Arabidopsis thaliana: one gene and its partners. The protein of the gene in region 1 interacts with the protein of each later gene in a biochemical or structural test. Each region holds a gene or a part of one and is shown in the gene's direction. Other genes may lie near its edges. The genes, in order: PEN3, CAM9, AT1G75460 and AT2G46600.

Region 1 (8,015 bases):
ATTGATTGATCATCATATTGTTTTTGGCATTTTTCAGAACGTGTAATAACAGTGAAGGAATTTTGAGGTACCTGCTCAACTGAATCAGATTCAGGAGGGTTTTAGGAGAGGTAATATGGAAGTAGCAATGCTTAAGAAAGATAAAGCTAGAGCTCTTGATGATCTGCTGAAAATCGACTAAGGAAGCCAATGACAAACTCAGACAGGAAAAAACTGTAAGAAGAAGAAGAAAATAAGAGAAAAGCAACAAAGCTATGGAAAGCTTAACTTTGGATTTGCAAGTTAAGTATTTTTAAAGCAAGGGAAGCATTGGAGAAGATCTTGTTGATATGTCAACCATAGCTTGAACATTGTGGAGCCCAAATGAAAAGGTATAAGTTGGCTGCAAAAGATACAAATGAAAACTGTGGAAAAATTCTTGAAGACTGAGATAAGTACACACTCAAAATGAGTTTTTCAATTCTAAGACTATGTGGGAACAGCGAGAACTTCAGTTGTGTGGAAAATTGGGAACTTGGCAAAGTGAATTTGTCTGACCTTCAGGAAAATGAGAAGAAGAAGAAGCATGTATGAAAAATACACTTAAGGAACTTGAGGAGAAGAGTGAGGATTTGTAGGAAAGAGTTGGAGAAGCGGAGACTGGAAGCATGAAAGTCGAGGCAAAGAAGGTTGCTTTAGAAAACAGAAAGCTCAGAGCAATGAAGGTTTTTTCTCTTGAAAAACTCGATAACTTGTCAAAGGTATATGAAAGCTTGGTGGATACAAGTGAAGCGTTTTTAAAGCAAGGCAAGGATTGGAGAAGGTCTTGTTGATATGTCAACCATAGCTTGAACATTGTGGAGCCCAAATTAAAAGTTATAAGTTGGCTGCAAAATATACAAGTGAAAAGTAAGGAAAAATTCTTGAAGACTGAGATAAGTAAACACCCAAAATGAGTTTGTCCATTCTAAGACTGTGTAGAGACAGCGAGAACTTCATTTGCGCGGAAAAGTCGGGAACTTGGCAAGGTAAATGAGAATAAACTGAAGGAACTTGAGGAGAAGAATGAGGATCTGTAGGAAAGAGTTAGAGAAGCAGAAACTGGAAGCATGAAATTTAAAGGAAGCTTGTTGGTCAACGAAGTCAAGCCAAAGAACATTGCTTTAGAAAACTCAGAGCAATGTAGGTTTGTTCTCTTGAAAAAATCGATGAGTCGTCCTCAAAGGTAAATGAAAACTTGGAGTATAAACTGCAGACTGAAGAAGACCGAGAGCTTAATTGACAAAGAAACCAACCTATAGAGCATTACTAAAGAAGCTGAGAAGAGCTCAGGAAAATGAAATTTGCTGGCTGAAGGAATGAATTAGACATTGGTTAATACACAAAATGCAGAGCACTAATCAAAGATTAGTTGAGAAAATAGCCAAACGCAGAGTTTAAGAGGAAGTCAATGGAGTCTTCTTATCATAACAACATTGAGGAGTTGTCACTAAAACTTCTTATTCCGGGTATTTAAATGGCTTCTTCCTCCGCAACTTCTCACTTTCCAGAACACAAAGACTTATAAACAAACCATCCTTCACGTATGTGTTGAATTGAAATGTGAATGTGACTTCATCAACACAATGACTTCAAAACCCAACGACGGTCTTCCTTTCTTTTCTCACCAATAAAATGTAGAAAAGAAACAAAGTACACAAGAAAGACTTTTCATTTAACGATATCTCCACTAGTAGTAGCTATAACTAAATGGGGTCATCGTTATTGACTTTGAATAAGAAATGTTCAAACACTTCAATTATTACATAATATCTTTGCAATAAAATAACAAACGTTAAAGAGCCGTCGCATTATTAGCACAAAAAATATCTTTTGTAAATAAAAAAACAACGTAAAAGAGCCGTCACATTTGAATAATAAAACCCATCTTGCACATAAAAAACACGACTTTTTATTATTTTTGATTATTTCAACAAAGTATGAATAGTCAACATAAAGAAAAGTCCGCCTTGATGTTCCTTCCTCACTCCCTATTTATCCATTTTCTAATCCCACCCTCTTCTCTTCATTCATCATCTTCCTCCTCTCTCTCTTCTCTGTATCACCCAACTAAATCCTCACGGGATTAGATCCAAAGTCTCAAACTTTGATCCAAAAACACAAACTTTGTTCAAAAGACATAAACTTTGAGCCAAAGTCACAAGCTTTCTTGGTGAACGATGGATTACAATCCAAATCTTCCTCCTTTAGGAGGAGGTGGTGTTAGTATGAGAAGAAGCATAAGTCGAAGTGTAAGCAGAGCAAGTAGGAACATTGAAGATATCTTCTCATCTGGTTCAAGAAGAACACAATCAGTCAACGACGATGAAGAAGCTCTTAAATGGGCTGCCATTGAGAAGCTACCAACTTACAGTCGTCTCCGAACCACTCTCATGAACGCTGTAGTCGAAGACGATGTTTACGGTAACCAGCTCATGAGCAAGGAGGTTGATGTAACCAAGCTTGATGGTGAAGATCGTCAGAAGTTTATTGACATGGTTTTCAAAGTAGCTGAGCAAGATAATGAAAGGATCTTGACTAAGCTAAGAAACAGGATCGATAGAGTTGGTATCAAACTTCCAACTGTTGAAGTCAGGTACGAGCATTTGACGATTAAAGCTGATTGTTACACTGGTAATAGATCTCTTCCTACACTTTTGAATGTTGTGAGGAACATGGGAGAGTCTGCTTTAGGTATGATTGGTATTCAATTTGCTAAGAAAGCTCAGCTTACGATTCTTAAAGATATCTCTGGGGTTATTAAACCTGGAAGGATGACACTTTTGTTGGGTCCTCCTTCTTCTGGTAAGACCACTCTTTTGTTGGCTTTAGCTGGGAAACTTGATAAATCTCTACAAGTCAGTGGTGATATTACTTACAATGGTTACCAACTCGATGAGTTTGTTCCGAGAAAGACCTCTGCTTACATTAGTCAGAACGATCTTCATGTTGGTATCATGACTGTTAAGGAGACTCTTGACTTCTCTGCTAGGTGTCAAGGTGTTGGTACTCGTTATGGTAAGTAAAAGATTCAATCTTTAATCATATCTTTTTTTCAAGATTCAGTTTTGTTGAATGGTTTTGATTCTTGTTGTTGTAGATCTGTTGAATGAGCTTGCGAGGAGAGAAAAGGACGCTGGTATATTCCCGGAAGCCGATGTTGATCTCTTCATGAAAGCTTCTGCTGCTCAAGGTGTTAAGAACAGTCTCGTCACTGATTATACTCTCAAAGTGAGTCCAACTCTCGCCTTAACTTAGCTCATCTTGTTCTTTTTGTTTCAAGAAGAGTGTTTGTTACTAGGCAAGCAACTCATAAAATCGAATCGAACTAAATCGTTTTTTATAAACCGAAACTGAACCGGAATTTATTCATTAACCGTTTGGTTTCATTATTTTAGAATATTGATATAAGTTTTCATATTCTAAAAATGTTCTAGACAATCTTTTCTCATGTTCATAAAGTTTTGAGTCTTTTTTTGTATAATACTAACTTTGGCCGTGTAACAGATTTTGGGGCTTGACATTTGCAAAGACACAATAGTTGGAGATGACATGATGAGAGGTATATCTGGAGGTCAGAAGAAACGTGTCACAACTGGTGAGATGATTGTTGGACCTACTAAGACACTCTTCATGGACGAAATATCCACTGGTCTTGACAGTTCCACTACTTTCCAAATCGTCAAGTGTCTGCAACAAATCGTTCACCTCAATGAAGCCACGGTGCTCATGTCTCTCCTCCAGCCTGCTCCTGAGACTTTTGATTTATTCGATGATATCATCTTGGTGTCGGAAGGTCAGATCGTGTACCAAGGACCGAGAGACAACATTCTTGAGTTCTTTGAGAGCTTTGGGTTCAAGTGTCCTGAGAGAAAAGGAACAGCTGATTTCCTGCAAGAGGTTACTTCCAAGAAAGATCAAGAACAGTACTGGGTGAACCCGAACAGACCTTATCACTACATTCCGGTTTCAGAGTTTGCCAGTAGATACAAGAGTTTCCATGTTGGGACGAAGATGTCTAACGAACTTGCAGTACCGTTCGATAAGTCTCGCGGCCACAAAGCAGCTCTTGTGTTCGATAAGTACTCTGTCTCAAAGAGGGAGCTTCTCAAGAGCTGTTGGGACAAAGAGTGGCTGCTTATGCAGCGAAACGCGTTCTTCTATGTTTTCAAGACTGTCCAGATCGTCATCATTGCTGCAATCACGTCTACACTCTTCCTGAGAACCGAAATGAACACAAGAAACGAGGGTGATGCTAATCTCTACATAGGAGCATTGCTATTTGGAATGATCATCAACATGTTTAATGGGTTTGCGGAGATGGCTATGATGGTTTCAAGACTCCCTGTGTTCTACAAACAGAGGGATCTCTTGTTTTATCCATCCTGGACCTTCTCACTTCCCACTTTCTTGCTTGGGATTCCAAGCTCAATATTAGAATCGACGGCTTGGATGGTGGTGACTTATTACTCCATTGGTTTTGCACCTGACGCCAGCCGCTTCTTCAAGCAGTTTCTTCTGGTGTTTCTGATTCAACAAATGGCTGCATCCCTCTTTAGGTTGATTGCTTCTGTGTGCAGAACCATGATGATTGCTAATACTGGTGGTGCTCTCACTCTACTTCTTGTGTTCTTGCTCGGAGGCTTCCTTCTTCCGAAAGGCAAGATTCCTGACTGGTGGGGTTGGGCTTACTGGGTATCTCCTCTCACCTATGCTTTCAACGGTCTAGTAGTCAATGAAATGTTTGCTCCCAGATGGATGAACAAAATGGTAAGTGGCTTACTTCTTTATTCTGCATTTTACAAACAAATATCATAGTAAAGCCGCCTCTGAGTCATATTTTTTTCAAATTACAGGCTTCTTCTAACAGCACAATAAAGCTTGGAACTATGGTGCTTAATACTTGGGATGTCTACCATCAAAAGAACTGGTACTGGATTTCAGTTGGAGCCTTGCTTTGTTTCACAGCCCTCTTCAACATTCTATTCACCTTGGCACTTACCTATCTCAACCGTAAGTTCTCGTGTTGTATCACCCGTTTTACCAAATCTAAAAACAATAGACTACTAATAATGTACCTTTGAAACTACAGCTCTTGGGAAGAAGGCAGGTTTACTTCCAGAAGAAGAAAATGAAGACGCTGATCAGGGGAAAGATCCAATGCGTAGATCTTTGTCTACTGCAGATGGGAACAGAAGTAAGTAAACACATTTCTTAATCTGCTTAGATGTTTTGCTTTTCTTGTACTCTTGTCTCATTCTGCTCCCTGCTATCAGGAGGAGAGGTCGCAATGGGGAGAATGAGTAGGGACTCTGCGGCTGAAGCATCAGGTGGTGCAGGCAATAAGAAAGGAATGGTTCTTCCTTTCACTCCTTTAGCTATGTCCTTTGACGACGTCAAATACTTTGTTGACATGCCTGGGGTAAGTAACTATCTTCACTTAAAATCTTTACACTAAATTAAATATGAATTACTTAAACTAAATAGATATCTTTTGATGGTATAGGAAATGAGAGACCAAGGAGTTACAGAAACAAGACTCCAACTGCTTAAAGGTGTGACTGGTGCATTTAGGCCAGGAGTTTTGACTGCGCTTATGGGAGTGAGTGGTGCCGGTAAGACTACGCTTATGGACGTTTTGGCCGGAAGGAAAACAGGTGGATACATTGAAGGAGATGTGAGAATATCAGGATTCCCAAAGGTTCAAGAAACATTTGCTAGAATCTCAGGATATTGTGAGCAGACCGATATTCACTCCCCGCAAGTAACAGTCAGAGAATCTCTGATTTTCTCTGCTTTCCTTCGTCTTCCTAAAGAAGTCGGCAAAGATGAAAAAATGATGTTTGTGGATCAAGTGATGGAATTGGTAGAGCTGGACAGTCTTAGGGACTCCATTGTTGGTTTACCGGGTGTCACGGGGCTTTCCACGGAGCAGAGAAAGAGACTGACAATCGCGGTGGAGCTTGTAGCCAACCCTTCCATCATCTTTATGGATGAGCCAACTTCAGGGCTAGACGCTAGAGCAGCGGCTATTGTGATGAGGGCGGTAAGGAACACAGTGGACACTGGAAGAACCGTGGTCTGCACCATTCATCAGCCTAGCATTGATATCTTTGAAGCATTTGATGAATTGATGCTGATGAAGAGAGGAGGACAAGTGATTTACGCGGGTCCATTGGGTCAAAACTCTCACAAGGTGGTTGAGTACTTTGAATCTTTCCCCGGAGTGTCCAAGATTCCAGAAAAGTATAACCCGGCCACTTGGATGCTCGAAGCTAGCTCACTCGCCGCTGAGCTAAAGCTTAGTGTTGACTTTGCTGAGTTATACAATCAATCAGCATTGCACCAGTAAGTTTAAGTTCCTTCTTTTCCATGGCTCATTGCATCTGATTGATTGTTTAAGTAATAGTACTAATGAATACATAACAAAATGCAGGCGAAACAAAGCGTTGGTAAAAGAACTAAGTGTACCACCAGCAGGAGCATCAGATCTTTACTTTGCTACACAATTCTCACAAAACACATGGGGACAGTTCAAATCATGCTTATGGAAACAATGGTGGACGTATTGGAGATCTCCAGACTACAATCTTGTCCGTTTCATCTTCACATTGGCAACATCTCTCTTGATTGGTACAGTCTTCTGGCAAATCGGAGGTAACAGGTCGAACGCAGGGGATCTAACAATGGTGATAGGAGCATTGTATGCCGCGATTATCTTCGTGGGAATCAACAACTGTTCAACAGTACAACCGATGGTTGCAGTGGAAAGAACAGTGTTCTACAGAGAAAGAGCAGCAGGAATGTACTCAGCCATGCCATATGCCATCTCTCAAGTCACTTGTGAGCTTCCCTATGTCCTTATTCAAACCGTTTACTACTCACTCATCGTCTACGCCATGGTTGGTTTCGAATGGAAAGCCGAAAAGTTCTTCTGGTTCGTCTTCGTTAGCTACTTCTCATTCCTCTACTGGACTTACTACGGCATGATGACTGTTTCCCTCACACCAAACCAACAAGTCGCTTCGATTTTCGCCTCAGCGTTTTACGGTATTTTCAACCTCTTCTCTGGTTTCTTCATTCCAAGACCCAAAATCCCAAAATGGTGGATTTGGTACTACTGGATCTGCCCTGTTGCATGGACCGTGTATGGATTGATAGTGTCGCAGTACGGTGATGTGGAGACACGTATCCAAGTCCTTGGTGGTGCTCCTGACTTAACCGTCAAGCAATACATTGAGGACCATTATGGTTTCCAATCTGACTTTATGGGACCAGTGGCGGCTGTACTCATCGCTTTCACCGTCTTCTTCGCCTTCATCTTCGCCTTCTGCATCAGAACTCTCAACTTCCAGACCAGATAAAACCATCTCTCAAACAACAAAGTCTCTTTCTTTTTTTGTATCCTCTGTGTTGTTTATATGCACTATAAGCTTTGTATGTTCTAAATATGTATTGTAGTGTCATAACGAAATTTTTTTGAATATTTTTATTTATTGTCTTATAGATGATGACGAATCGGAATCATGTAATATAATTCCACTTTTTTTTGTGTTTATATCCACAAATCCCTCAAAGTCCATTTTTGTTTGTTTCTTGAGACTTTTTATTTTACGATACTTCCAATAAGAGGAAGAAGACAGAAAAAAAGTGTGATCATATCCATTATCAAAGAAGACAAAATCAATGGAGGATAAGTTAATGTTCTTCATGATTAAATCTTGATAATTGTATAACATGGTTCTGTAAAAATTATCACAACACAACACCAATATCATAAAGTTTAATGAGAAATCTCAATAAATCAGTTTTTCTAAATATAGAAAAGTCTATCTTACAACGACAAAACGATTTTGAATTTTGGATTAAATCACCTAAAATTTCCTTAAATCCTACCAAAAGTCCTCCCAATCAAATTTCCATTTAATCATACCCAAATGTTTAGGCCAATACACCACCCTATATCTTGATCATTGCATAATATGGTTTGGATTCCT
Region 2 (4,258 bases), on another chromosome or scaffold:
GAGATTCAAGATTTCGTTTCTATTTTGGAACAGAGAAACCAACAAAATTGGAGCGTTTGAGGAAATGTTAAAAAGAGTATTTATTTTTAAAAAGGAGGAGAAGGTGCAACGGCTACATTGACAGGTGGCGTAGCCTCCTTTTTTTGCCTTTTGCTTATCATTTGCGCATTTTCATTAATTCGTGATATATGGCTCATGGAATCTTATAATATATGAAACCACTTCAGGAGCCTTAAATTTAATGTGTGCATATCATAGTAACGGATTGATCATTGTTCTCTTGTTTGACCAGTGATGTTAATTGGACCATATGTGGATACTGTAACGTTAAGGATTATGAAAATCAAGATATAGATATATGTATTTTTCAAGTATACGATATACCAAATTAGTTACGACAAAATGCGAATGAGTTGGTAGTAATGAGTAAACCTCAAAATACTGTTTTTTTTTTGTCAACAAACTTATGTTATTATACTTGGATGACTTAAATAAGCTAAACCGAAAAACATTGTTTAACCTCAAAATACTTATTTAATTAGTTGGTAGCATCGTTACATATTATAATTACGACTACGAGTTAGATTCTCAAATAATATTCCCAAATGGATATATTTACATCGATTGATGCATGCTTATTTGTAGTGATCGTCCCTTATGTATATTATGTTTTTATTTTATTTTTTGAACATAGTATAATATTGGTGGGAGAAGACAAAAATAAGGGAGCTCTGCCATCTAATACGGGAATCAAGATATCTGTTTTACATCAAACAAAGACTAGTGTGATGAAATGAAAGTTAAGTTAACAACAATAAAAAACAAAATTAGCTGAAAATGTAATCAAATGAGAGATCCGAATCCGATCTCCGCTAAGTAAAGCGTAGTGGGAGCGTAAATTCGCGTGAGTCTGATTCTGAATCGTATCATACATACCAAATCAAACATTAACGTTTATGATCTTACTTACCCATATCTTATTTCTTAATTTGTTTGGTTGTTTGTAAATGAGAAATACACTATGATAAGAGAAGAAGATCTAAATGAGGCATAGATCTCTAGATACCAAAACAGATAACGCCACCAACTAACATCCAATTAAGGATATATAACACGGCATCTCCCTCTTTAGTAAGCTTACGACCAAAGTAGTGTGACTAGTGCGGAACATTTTTGCAGTTAATACTACTTAGCCTCAATTCTTAATTATGACCGTATGGGACAGGGTAGGTAGGCACAAAGCGGATATTGTTTTTAATATATTTGCATCGAATTTGGTTTGTTGGATCGATAATCTTTTAATATGTATCCGCTTTTGAACTAGTCTATTCTCCGATTGTAGAATGAAACATCTATCCGAAATTCTAATTTGTAGTATTAGTGATTTGTTTTGTTTTTAACAGTATTTTAATATTTGTTTAAATTTGTAAACTTATGGTTATCCAGACTTTTTGAATCATTCAAAAGTGGAAAACAGATCGAATGGAAGTATAGAACACTACAATATATTTTCATATTTTTCTTAGCCGTAAGCCACTAATATTGGATGGACATAAACATAAGAGACCCCACAATATTTATCAGATTAAGCCTTTATTCACATTACAATGTTTCGTTCTCAACTTCTCATCATAACGTGAATAAAAGTAGGAGTTAGAATTAGAACACAACATCTCTAACAAATCTCTTATCTGCATTGCTTTGGAGAGACATGTTTGTACAAGAAGAAAAATGTTTATGGTCAGTCCGTTTTTTTCATATTGATTACCTTTTAAATCCCATTTGGTATTAAAAAAAACCCACTTCTAAGATATGTTTCGCTTTTTATGGTAACAAGACATATAACTTTTCAAAGTTACTGAATGGAATTCTTGACAGAAGTTGTTAGGACACTAAATAATGGAAAATCAAAATCAAGGGTTACATTAGAGACACGCGTACATCAATTATTTCTTAAAATGCAACTTGGTGTACGACTTTTAATTCTTGAGTCCTCAAACCCGAGCATTACTCCACCCTTTCTTTTCGCAATAATCAAGATCCTAATTTAATTCCCTATAAGTATTTTTTCTAATAACTATGAAAATAAAGAAAAATAAGCGTTGAAGTCATAAGTTTGAACAAAGACGCGTGACCTGGAATCGTGCTCAAGAAAAAATATCACAACTAATGAAAACGCAAGGTCATGAGTATTGACCTTGACCGGGCAAGAGCCTAGAGCCAAGAGGTGATGTGTACTTAAATGTGATAGATGCTCCCTTCTTCTTCTCTCATCACTAACAAATTAAGAGAAGCTGATCATCAGATTGAATCAAAGACAGACTTTGACTTTTCTTTGTGATCGAAGATATGGCGGATGCTTTCACAGATGAACAGATCCAAGAGTTTTACGAAGCCTTCTGTCTCATAGACAAAGATTCCGATGGTCTGCTTTGTTCTCTCTCTTTCTTGTTCGATTTGATACACAAATTTATTCAGAATCGATCGGTTTGATGATGTTATGATGCATGTGAAACAGGGTTCATCACGAAGGAGAAGCTAACGAAAGTGATGAAGTCGATGGGGAAGAATCCAAAGGCGGAACAACTGCAACAGATGATGAGCGATGTTGACATCTTTGGCAACGGTGGCATCACTTTTGATGATTTCTTGTATATTATGGCTCAAAACACTTCTCAGGTAAAATATATATACACACTTAAAACCGTTTAGTTATAGTAAAGATTGATAATTGTAGAGAAAAGTTAATAATGAAAAAATTGGTTGTAGGAATCAGCATCGGATGAGTTAATTGAGGTATTCAGAGTGTTCGACAGAGACGGAGATGGTCTCATATCTCAACTTGAGGTAAATAAATTGTCTAACTATTTACCAAATAGTACATTGTCCTGACATGGAAACAATAAAAAACGAGTTACATACATATATAATAAGATTAAGTGATCATGTAGATGGATATAACGAAAGAAGAGAAATTACTAAATGTTACTTTTTTGAAGACCTTGTTATTATTATCTTTATAATCTACTATCATTCACTCATTACAACACAAATTTTTGTCGCCATAAGAAACTCCATTGCTCATATGGTCTTGTTTTTTTTTTCTCAAACCGACACGGCGACAACACAACAATCGAGAGACACATAGTCACATACTACTTGAAAAATACTTCGTTATCTGAATTAAAAAGATTTATATTCAAAAATAATGCAAAAAAGATTGGTCATTTAACTTGGTCAAATGGTTATTAGCTTACTTTTATAATATAAGCCATTCTCTTAACTCTTAAGTCTTAACTATAGTTTATTTAGCCATTTCTCCTAATTTCTATAAACGAAATGCAGTTGGGAGAAGGAATGAAGGACATGGGGATGAAGATAACAGCAGAAGAAGCGGAGCATATGGTCCGAGAAGCCGACCTTGATGGCGATGGTTTTCTTTCTTTCCACGAATTCTCTAAAATGATGATTGCTGCCTCTTATTAGCATTTTGTGAAATGCCATGATTTAAGAGTTTGTTTTTGCACAATTACAACTATATTTCAATATGTTACTATATTTTCCCAACATATAATTAAAGTGTGTGTTACTGAATCAATGATTTTTTTCGGTCGATAAAAAACTATAATATTTTTCCTATCCAAAATTCGAACCAAACCAAACCAAACCAAAAGTATTGTTCTGTTTTAAACATATGTTTTTTAAACCGGAAAATCCAAACCGAACTAAACCGAGAGTAATTATCTGACTCGGTCACTCGACGGTAGCGTGCCACAATTGAACTGGTGGTCGATCCTTAACTTCCATCTTCAATCCTTGCAAAACCCTAATGAAGAAGCAGTCTGAAGAACCAAAAATCAGTGGTTTTTTAATAAGTAAATGGTGAGAAAATCTGTTGAACTGTCGAATTTGTTTATAACCTATCAGCTTTGCTATAAATTGTTTGTTCCAAATTCCAATTCAAGTCCCCATCATTGAAGGTTAAGTAGCTTTGCTTTTTTGTCTGCCGACGGTTGTTGTAGAAATTTATGATGTTCTTGATGCTTGTCACTTTCACTCATATTGAGATCTGTCTCTCGATTCATGTTTCTTCATCACAGTGGACACAAAATGACCTAGAAGCTGAGATAGTATATTTACATTGAGTAGAGCAATTTAGTACTTGCAATATTCGTTTTAGTAGTGTCTAAAAAAGATAAGGCTTTGGTTGAACTCCATTCTAAAACCCTTACGACTGATTGAGCAAGAATCTTTACAT
Region 3 (4,317 bases), 6.3 Mb from region 1:
CTTTGTGTCACCATCCAAATTTAAATCCGCATATGCATGTTTTTGAAAGAAAAAAAACAAATAATAAAATTTAAAACCTAGAGAATTTTCAATGAATTGGAAAACTTCTACTTCAACTCTTGAGCATAATATATTTAAATACTTAGTTTGAACCAAGAATTCTTAATTTGGTCAATAATATATAGAATCATCTGTAAGAATAGTATAGTTGTAAGAATAAATTTGTTTGTTACTTTTGTTTTATGAATGTGAAAACTATATAAGATTCTCTGAAGCTTTGATCGTGTTACTGTCATCAATCATCGTGAAGGGACATTGTGTTATTCTATTTTATAGCAATCTTTTCTAAGAAAACATAAATACTATTATTATTTTGTTCTTTTTGGTTTTCCCTTTTCATTGTCGACGAGAACTGAGACTTTGGAATGTACCCAATTGATAAATTCAAAGTTTTGGACCAAAGCTAAAACCTAAAGCCTCAATCGACATCACATTTTGGCCAATCATTCTCCGGAAATCTCGAAAGTCTTTGAAAAATAATGAGTGTAATGTGAACTTTTATTATGGTGCTTTTTTGTGGGATACCCATCACATTTTTTCTGTCATCTAAATATTTGTTTCTTATATCCAGCCAAACAAATAAATATGTAAACACCTAATATATGTACCAAGACTAATTTTATACAAAAAAGTCTGATCGTCAAACTAATATTAAAAACTAAAACATATATATGGGACGACAAAAACATGGCATATGGTTGGTTCCAAACTCTAAACAAACATATTATTTTGAAATTTATCGGCCAATACATTGAGATGAAACTACTGTTGCGTTCTACGCAAGCGATTATTGGTTTTGTTTCTGTAAATTAATGTCAATTGGATTTGCATAAGAATGATTTTGTTTTGTTCTTAGCAAAAAAAAGAATGGTTTTGTCGCAACATAGACAAACGATTCCAAAGCCCACGTGCCTTGGACTCGTCTTTATCCTACTACACTTCTATCATTGGCCTCCTAATCTCCCGTTGATATTTGATTAGTGGTTCTCATTTTTATTTCCCTTTCAATTTAATTTGTGAAAATATATTGTTTTTCTTTTTGTCTTTGTAATGTCTTTTTCAGATCTACTCTTAGCTTATGAAACGAACTCGCGCTCATTTGGCTCCAAGTGTGGAGATCTTGTAAGTTTGTTTCAGCAAATTAAGGTTCAAATTTTTTATGATACAAAGTACAAACCCTTATTCATATAAAATGGGCCATTTTTCACAATGGGCTTATTTGTGGGCCTTATTCGTTTAAATCTTTATGTGTAAACAAAAAATTAGTTTCCCTTTTCCCTTATCACAAGAATAAAATTAGTTGGGTAGATGAGTTGGACTCTTCTTTATGGGCCCTTATTCTACTGCATCTCTTAAACCAAGAAAATATTTGAGTTGACCAAAAAAATTGACAAATCAACAATTACACAACCCTGAAATGAAGTTACCACAAGCACAAAGCTTATACTAACCGGTTTAATGATGATTTTTTGGTACATAATTGGTTGGAGATTGGAGAAATAAGTTAGGGGAAAATGTCATAAATCAACCCACACCTATCACCATTCAAATGCTCTTCCAACTAACTTCTACACATTTTTATTCTCTCTAGAATTCTCATCTAGAAAATGCGTCACTAATTCCTTCTTAGTCAGTAATCCCTAATCTAAAGAGCACGTGGCATTACAAGAATTTTGTAGATGGATAATATAAAGTCTCTCACTCGTGGGATATTCAGAATCACATCCACTTCTTCTTCCTCTCCTCTCGTTTATTATCCACACAACAAAAATACAAATCACTCAAATATCTGTTATAATGACATGTCAATTATCATATCCTTAATTTTTTTTTCTTTAAACCCACCAAAAGGCAAAAGAAATATTCAAATAATGTAATAAACCCTCTTTTTTGTATTCTCTGATTACTTCGTCTCTTCCCCTGTAATGGCGCTTCCACACGTAGTCTCTTCACCTTCTTCAACTTCATTATCTCCTTCCTTCAAATCCAAACCACCGTTTCACTCCCTTAGATCTTTATCACCGACGGTTGATAATCGCCGGCGTTGTAAACTCAACAGTTCCTTCCGATGTTCATCTTCTTCATTCTCCGAGAAGCATCACAACGCGAAATCTCCAAAATCCGATGATATCGTCGAGCTTCCTCTGTTTCCACTCCCACTCGTTCTCTTCCCCGGAGCAATCCTTCCTCTTCAGATCTTCGAATTCCGTTACCGTATCATGATGCACACGCTCCTCCAATCTGATCTACGATTCGGCGTAGTTTACTCCGATTCCGTCTCTGGCTCCGCCGCAGAAGTAGGATGTGTAGGAGAAGTCGTGAAACACGAGCGTCTCGTCGATGATCGATTCTTTCTAGTCTGCAAAGGTCAAGAACGATTCCGAGTCACGAATGTCGTTCGTACGAAACCCTACCTTGTCGGAGAAGTCACGTGGCTTGAAGATCGTCCTTCCGGTGAAGAAAATCTTGATTCGTTAGCTAATGAAGTCGAAGTTCTAATGAAAGAAGTGATTAGGTTATCGAATAGATTGAATGGTAAGGCTGAGAAAGAAGTTCAAGATCTGAGGAGGAATCAGTTTCCGACGCCGTTTTCGTTCTTCGTCGGAAGTACGTTTGAAGGAGCTCCTAGAGAGCAGCAAGCGTTGCTTGAGCTTGAAGATACGGCAGCTAGGTTAAAAAGAGAAAGAGAGACTTTGAGGAATACACTTAATTATTTGACTGCAGCTTCTGCTGTTAAAGATGTGTTTCCTTCATCATCTTAGTGTGTATTCTACTTTTACTGGTACATAGAATTTCTGAACCTCTTCTCTCTCTAAGCGTTTGGTATATTGAGCTTTGTCAGTAATTGAATATACGAAACTTATGAAAACCTGCAAAGTTGTGAAAGTGTAATTGCCTTTGTAATACGGTGATTTTGGTGGTATTAGTATATGTTTTGAAGGTTTTTATAGGATTTATAGCTGAATTGATCACAAAAATGTTGTGGTTTACTTGAGTTAGCTTCCAAAGTGGAAACCTAGAGAATCTGCTATGTCAACAATTCCTAATAGAGAGAGATGTTCACTAAACCAGGGAATGTCAAAACTGCTACGACTCATATAGAGACTAAGTAGTGTTGGTTGCTTTATCTACATACTATAGACTTATGGTACTTGTATCAGTTTCGTTGCAACTATGGTACTGGTTTAATTATCTTTGGTGTAGATTCTAGTGAGCGTTTTCGACCTCTAGAACCAAGTGGAAACTTACCAAATAAACTGCTTGGGCTGTGGATTGCCTGCCTCTGTGTGTCTGTCGAGTCATTCGGCGCTAGTTTGATCATCTGGTTCTGGTATGAATAACCGCGTTATGTCTATGCCATCGAGTGTCGTCTAATTATGAGATCATGGAGCCTCGTCCATGGTTCACTGCGAGGTTTAGGGTTTAGCAGAGTGACTCTGGTGGTGTTTCGAGTCAAGATAGTCTCTATCGATTCAAATTGCTACACCAAACATATATTTTCGAACTTTTCTGCTATAAGAATTAACAAGTGTTCGCGACAAGAAGATGATTTCTGTTACAAACTCTGTTTTTACGGCTCCATGTTCTGTTTTTCTTCAAAGCATCTTGTGTAATTAACAAAGGTTTTTTGGTGAATATAATTTGGCATTCAAAACTTATGTACACGAGTTGTTTCCTTTGCCATAAAAAAATTGCTTGCCTTCCTGGAATTCCAAAACTTTGGAAGTTGACTACTTCTATAAAAAAAAATAGAACAAGCAAAAGCAGTATGATGCTTGTCTTTTTCTTTATTATCTAGTGTCAAATGACAAAGTCATTTAATCTGTACTTGGTCTTTTACTTCTAGGAATATGTCTGCATATAAGTAACTAAAACCCATTTGCTCAACTAGGCAAAACCCTTACTCCGTCAAAGTCCACCCTCAGACCCATTGCGTTTGGCTATAAACACACAAACGCCAGTTTCCTAGATTCCCAGAACTCAAGAAATATGATGGGACATAATCAACCAATGCAGTCGTCAAATCCACAAGGTAGGCCTATGTTCTGTCTCATTATATTCCCTTGTCACATATATATATTGGTATGCCAATCATAATATTGTTTTCCTTTACAGAACACTTTGTGCAAATAGCCCTGGATATCGAGCACCGCCTAACCACACCGATCAGCCTAACAAGTGACTCGAATCAGAGACGTAACCAGTGGGTTACCATCATCATATGCACCATCTTGGCCGTAACAGGTCAATGCATCG
Region 4 (2,711 bases), on another chromosome or scaffold:
CAGCAGCAGCCTTCATCATCTTCTTCTGTCTATGGTTCCTCGTCGTCTCCTGTTTCAGCTCTTGAACTTTTAAGAACCGGAGTTAATGTTTCTTCAAGATCAGGGATTAACTCATCGTTCATGCCTTCCGGTTCAATGATGGATTCAAACACTGTGCTTTACACTTCTTCAGGGTTTCCAACAATGGTGGATTACAAGCCAAGTAATCTCTCCTTCTCTACCGATCATCAAGGGCTTGGACACAATAGCAACAATAGGTCTGAAGCTCTTCATAGTGATCATCACCAACAAGGTAGAGTTTTGTTTCCATTTGGGGATCAAATGAAGGAGCTTTCATCAAGCATAACACAAGAAGTTGATCATGATGATAATCAACAACAGAAGAGTCATGGAAATAATAATAATAATAATAACTCAAGCCCTAATAATGGATATTGGAGTGGGATGTTCAGTACTACAGGAGGAGGATCTTCATGGTGAAGCAAAATGATCAAAAGGAGATTATGAAATTAGCTTTCTAATTCTCTTTTTATGATCTCTTGCCTCACATGGGTTACTTTAGTTAAAGTTGTCAGAACTTAGCTAACACAACATAGTCTTTTTATTCTTCCTTTCCTTTTTTTTTTTTTTTTTTTTTTGTTAAAATCAATATTTATTTTCTAAATGTTTTGTAGTTTGGTTTGATGATAATTTGGGTTGGTTTTTCATTTTGGTTTGTTGATTAATTAGTATATAAATCACGGCGTTATGTATGGGTAGAAGAATATGTGAATACGAATCTCTCGAGTGTTGCATATATGGTATATGGTATGCACTATGTAACTATGTATTCATCGCTTCTTCTATCTGTATAAGTGTTTTCATAAAAGGATTATTCATATGATCATATCTATTATCGATATAGAAGTTAGTGTGATATACTCTCTAGATCGATCACTTGGAAAAATCAATAAGCCCGGGCCATCAATAAGGCAGCTAAAGTAACTACGTAACCATTGGCCATTGCTAAGATGGTTATGTAGGCTTCTAACATGTCCTCGGTCGTTGGTTCAAAAAGCCACAATGATCATTTTACCTTTCTCTTAGCAATTTTATATCCAGTTAACAACTACTTAGTTCATATTTTTTCATAATAGTCACATCTCAAATTCAGACGAGAAATTACCGTTACATCAAATCAGTTAAGGCTTGGACGGAGAAAGAGATATTTTATTATATGTCGACATGTCGTTATTATTGTAAGAGAATCCAATTCCATTGAAGTAAATAATTGAAAGACACGACGGAAGAAATCAAGAAACGAAACTTCTCCGAAACTTACCATTGTCTTGTCTTTCTTTTGATAACAATATATGGGAGTGGGAATGCGTCGTATTCACGGCCCATTCGAACTTTCCACGAAACCACCTAATAATCAGCTGCTTCCCTCCCTACTCACGAAATCGCATTTTATCTTGGAATGAATATCAGCCGTTCATTATTTCAACTTTCAGAATCCAACGGCTGCGATTCAAGAGAGAGTTTTAGGCCACACGAACGTGACAAACACATCGGTACAGATACGCCACTCACTTATATATCCCTTTGGAACTAATCAAAAGAGTTCACCAAAATCTCTTCTCTCTCTTCCATTGTCTTCCTCTAATGGAACCAACCGAGAAATCTATGTTACTAGAAACTACTAGTACCACGAAGATGGAGACCAAATACGAAGATATGTTACCAGTTATGGCGGAGAAGATGGATGTTGAAGAGTTTGTATCAGAGTTATGCAAAGGTTTCAGTTTGCTTGCGGATCCAGAGAGACATCTCATCACAGCTGAGTCTCTAAGACGAAACTCAGGGATACTTGGAATTGAAGGTATGAGCAAGGAAGATGCTCAAGGAATGGTTAGAGAAGGAGACCTCGATGGAGATGGTGCTCTTAACCAAACCGAATTCTGCGTTCTCATGGTTCGGTTAAGCCCTGAGATGATGGAAGACGCCGAAACTTGGTTGGAGAAAGCACTCACCCAAGAACTATGTAATCACAATCTCTCTTCTATGCCTTGAATGATCGTCCTCCTTTCTTGTGTATTCTCTTTTTACTTCTACAAAACCTATAAATGTTTCTGAATATAAAATGAAGTAATGATTTCTTGATCCTGAAAAACTGAATGGATTGCCTTGAAACTATTCCAATTCCAAAAGAGATCATTGCCATTATAAGCTACTAATACTTTCTACACCACATAGAGTGCAAAGCACATACGGTTCAAGTCATAAGCGGTAAAGACTCAGTACTAAGAACTTGTTTTTGTACCATGCCCATACATTCTAAAAATCCATCGCCCAACAACATCTTCAACCTCTTGCTCTTTGAATCGGGGACCGGCTGTTAAAAAATAGAAAAGAAAAATCAGACAATTAGAGTAGCACATAACACTATATATAAGGATATTGACCATTCAGAAGCCAAGTACTGTTACCTTCTGTCATAGCCCGGACTCCTAGCTCTTGCTCTACCATAGTCTGAACTGCGACGCCCATAATCTGGACTCTTACGTCTTTCATAAGGAGCAGGACCCTTGTACCTGTCATATTCAGGACTGCGACGACGGGTATAATCAGGACTAGGACGCCTCCGATACACTGGGCTAGGAGATCTCCTTCTTCGACTGCCAGCATATCTATCTTCTCTTTCACCAGCCTCCCTCAAGGCATACTCAACA

Evidence for each region.
Region 2: the proteins of PEN3 (region 1) and CAM9 form a complex in vitro, tested with the Arabidopsis thaliana proteins (one study listed by BioGRID).
Region 3: the proteins of PEN3 (region 1) and AT1G75460 form a complex in vitro, tested with the Arabidopsis thaliana proteins (one study listed by BioGRID).
Region 4: the proteins of PEN3 (region 1) and AT2G46600 form a complex in vitro, tested with the Arabidopsis thaliana proteins (one study listed by BioGRID).

What each region holds. Positions count from the first base shown.
Region 1 is NC_003070.9:22,032,463-22,040,477, forward strand, and holds PEN3 (ABC-2 and Plant PDR ABC-type transporter family protein), read left to right. Parts: upstream 1-1,960; 5' UTR 1,961-2,198; coding exon 2,199-3,036; intron 3,037-3,118; coding exon 3,119-3,249; intron 3,250-3,525; coding exon 3,526-4,788; intron 4,789-4,874; coding exon 4,875-5,031; intron 5,032-5,110; coding exon 5,111-5,215; intron 5,216-5,294; coding exon 5,295-5,440; intron 5,441-5,524; coding exon 5,525-6,366; intron 6,367-6,454; coding exon 6,455-7,382; 3' UTR 7,383-7,664; downstream 7,665-8,015. Other genes in the region: AT1G59865 (uncharacterized protein), read right to left, coding at 72-177, 538-835. UniProt on the Arabidopsis thaliana protein: Together with ABCG37, regulates auxin homeostasis and responses by playing a dual role in coumarin (e.g. esculin) and in the auxin precursor indole 3-butyric acid (IBA) efflux transport, thus influencing cotyledons, roots and root hairs development.
Region 2 is NC_003074.8:19,267,406-19,271,663, reverse strand, and holds CAM9 (calmodulin 9), read left to right. Parts: upstream 1-2,005; 5' UTR 2,006-2,349; coding exon 2,350-2,425; intron 2,426-2,518; coding exon 2,519-2,679; intron 2,680-2,769; coding exon 2,770-2,847; intron 2,848-3,345; coding exon 3,346-3,486; 3' UTR 3,487-3,713; downstream 3,714-4,258. UniProt on the Arabidopsis thaliana protein: Potential calcium sensor.
Region 3 is NC_003070.9:28,326,001-28,330,317, forward strand, and holds AT1G75460 (ATP-dependent protease La (LON) domain protein), read left to right. Parts: upstream 1-1,697; 5' UTR 1,698-1,985; coding exon 1,986-2,822; 3' UTR 2,823-3,764; downstream 3,765-4,317. Other genes in the region: PUP15 (purine permease), read left to right, coding at 4,054-4,093, 4,177-4,317.
Region 4 is NC_003071.7:19,134,426-19,137,136, forward strand, and holds AT2G46600 (Calcium-binding EF-hand family protein), read left to right. Parts: upstream 1-1,593; 5' UTR 1,594-1,644; coding exon 1,645-2,052; 3' UTR 2,053-2,175; downstream 2,176-2,711. Other genes in the region: DAG2 (Dof-type zinc finger DNA-binding family protein), read left to right, coding at 1-480; RS31a (RNA-binding (RRM/RBD/RNP motifs) family protein), read right to left, coding at 2,344-2,374, 2,469-2,711. UniProt on the Arabidopsis thaliana protein: Calcium-binding regulatory protein that interacts with kinesin motor protein KCBP in a calcium-dependent manner. Inhibits KCBP microtubule binding activity and microtubule-stimulated ATPase activity.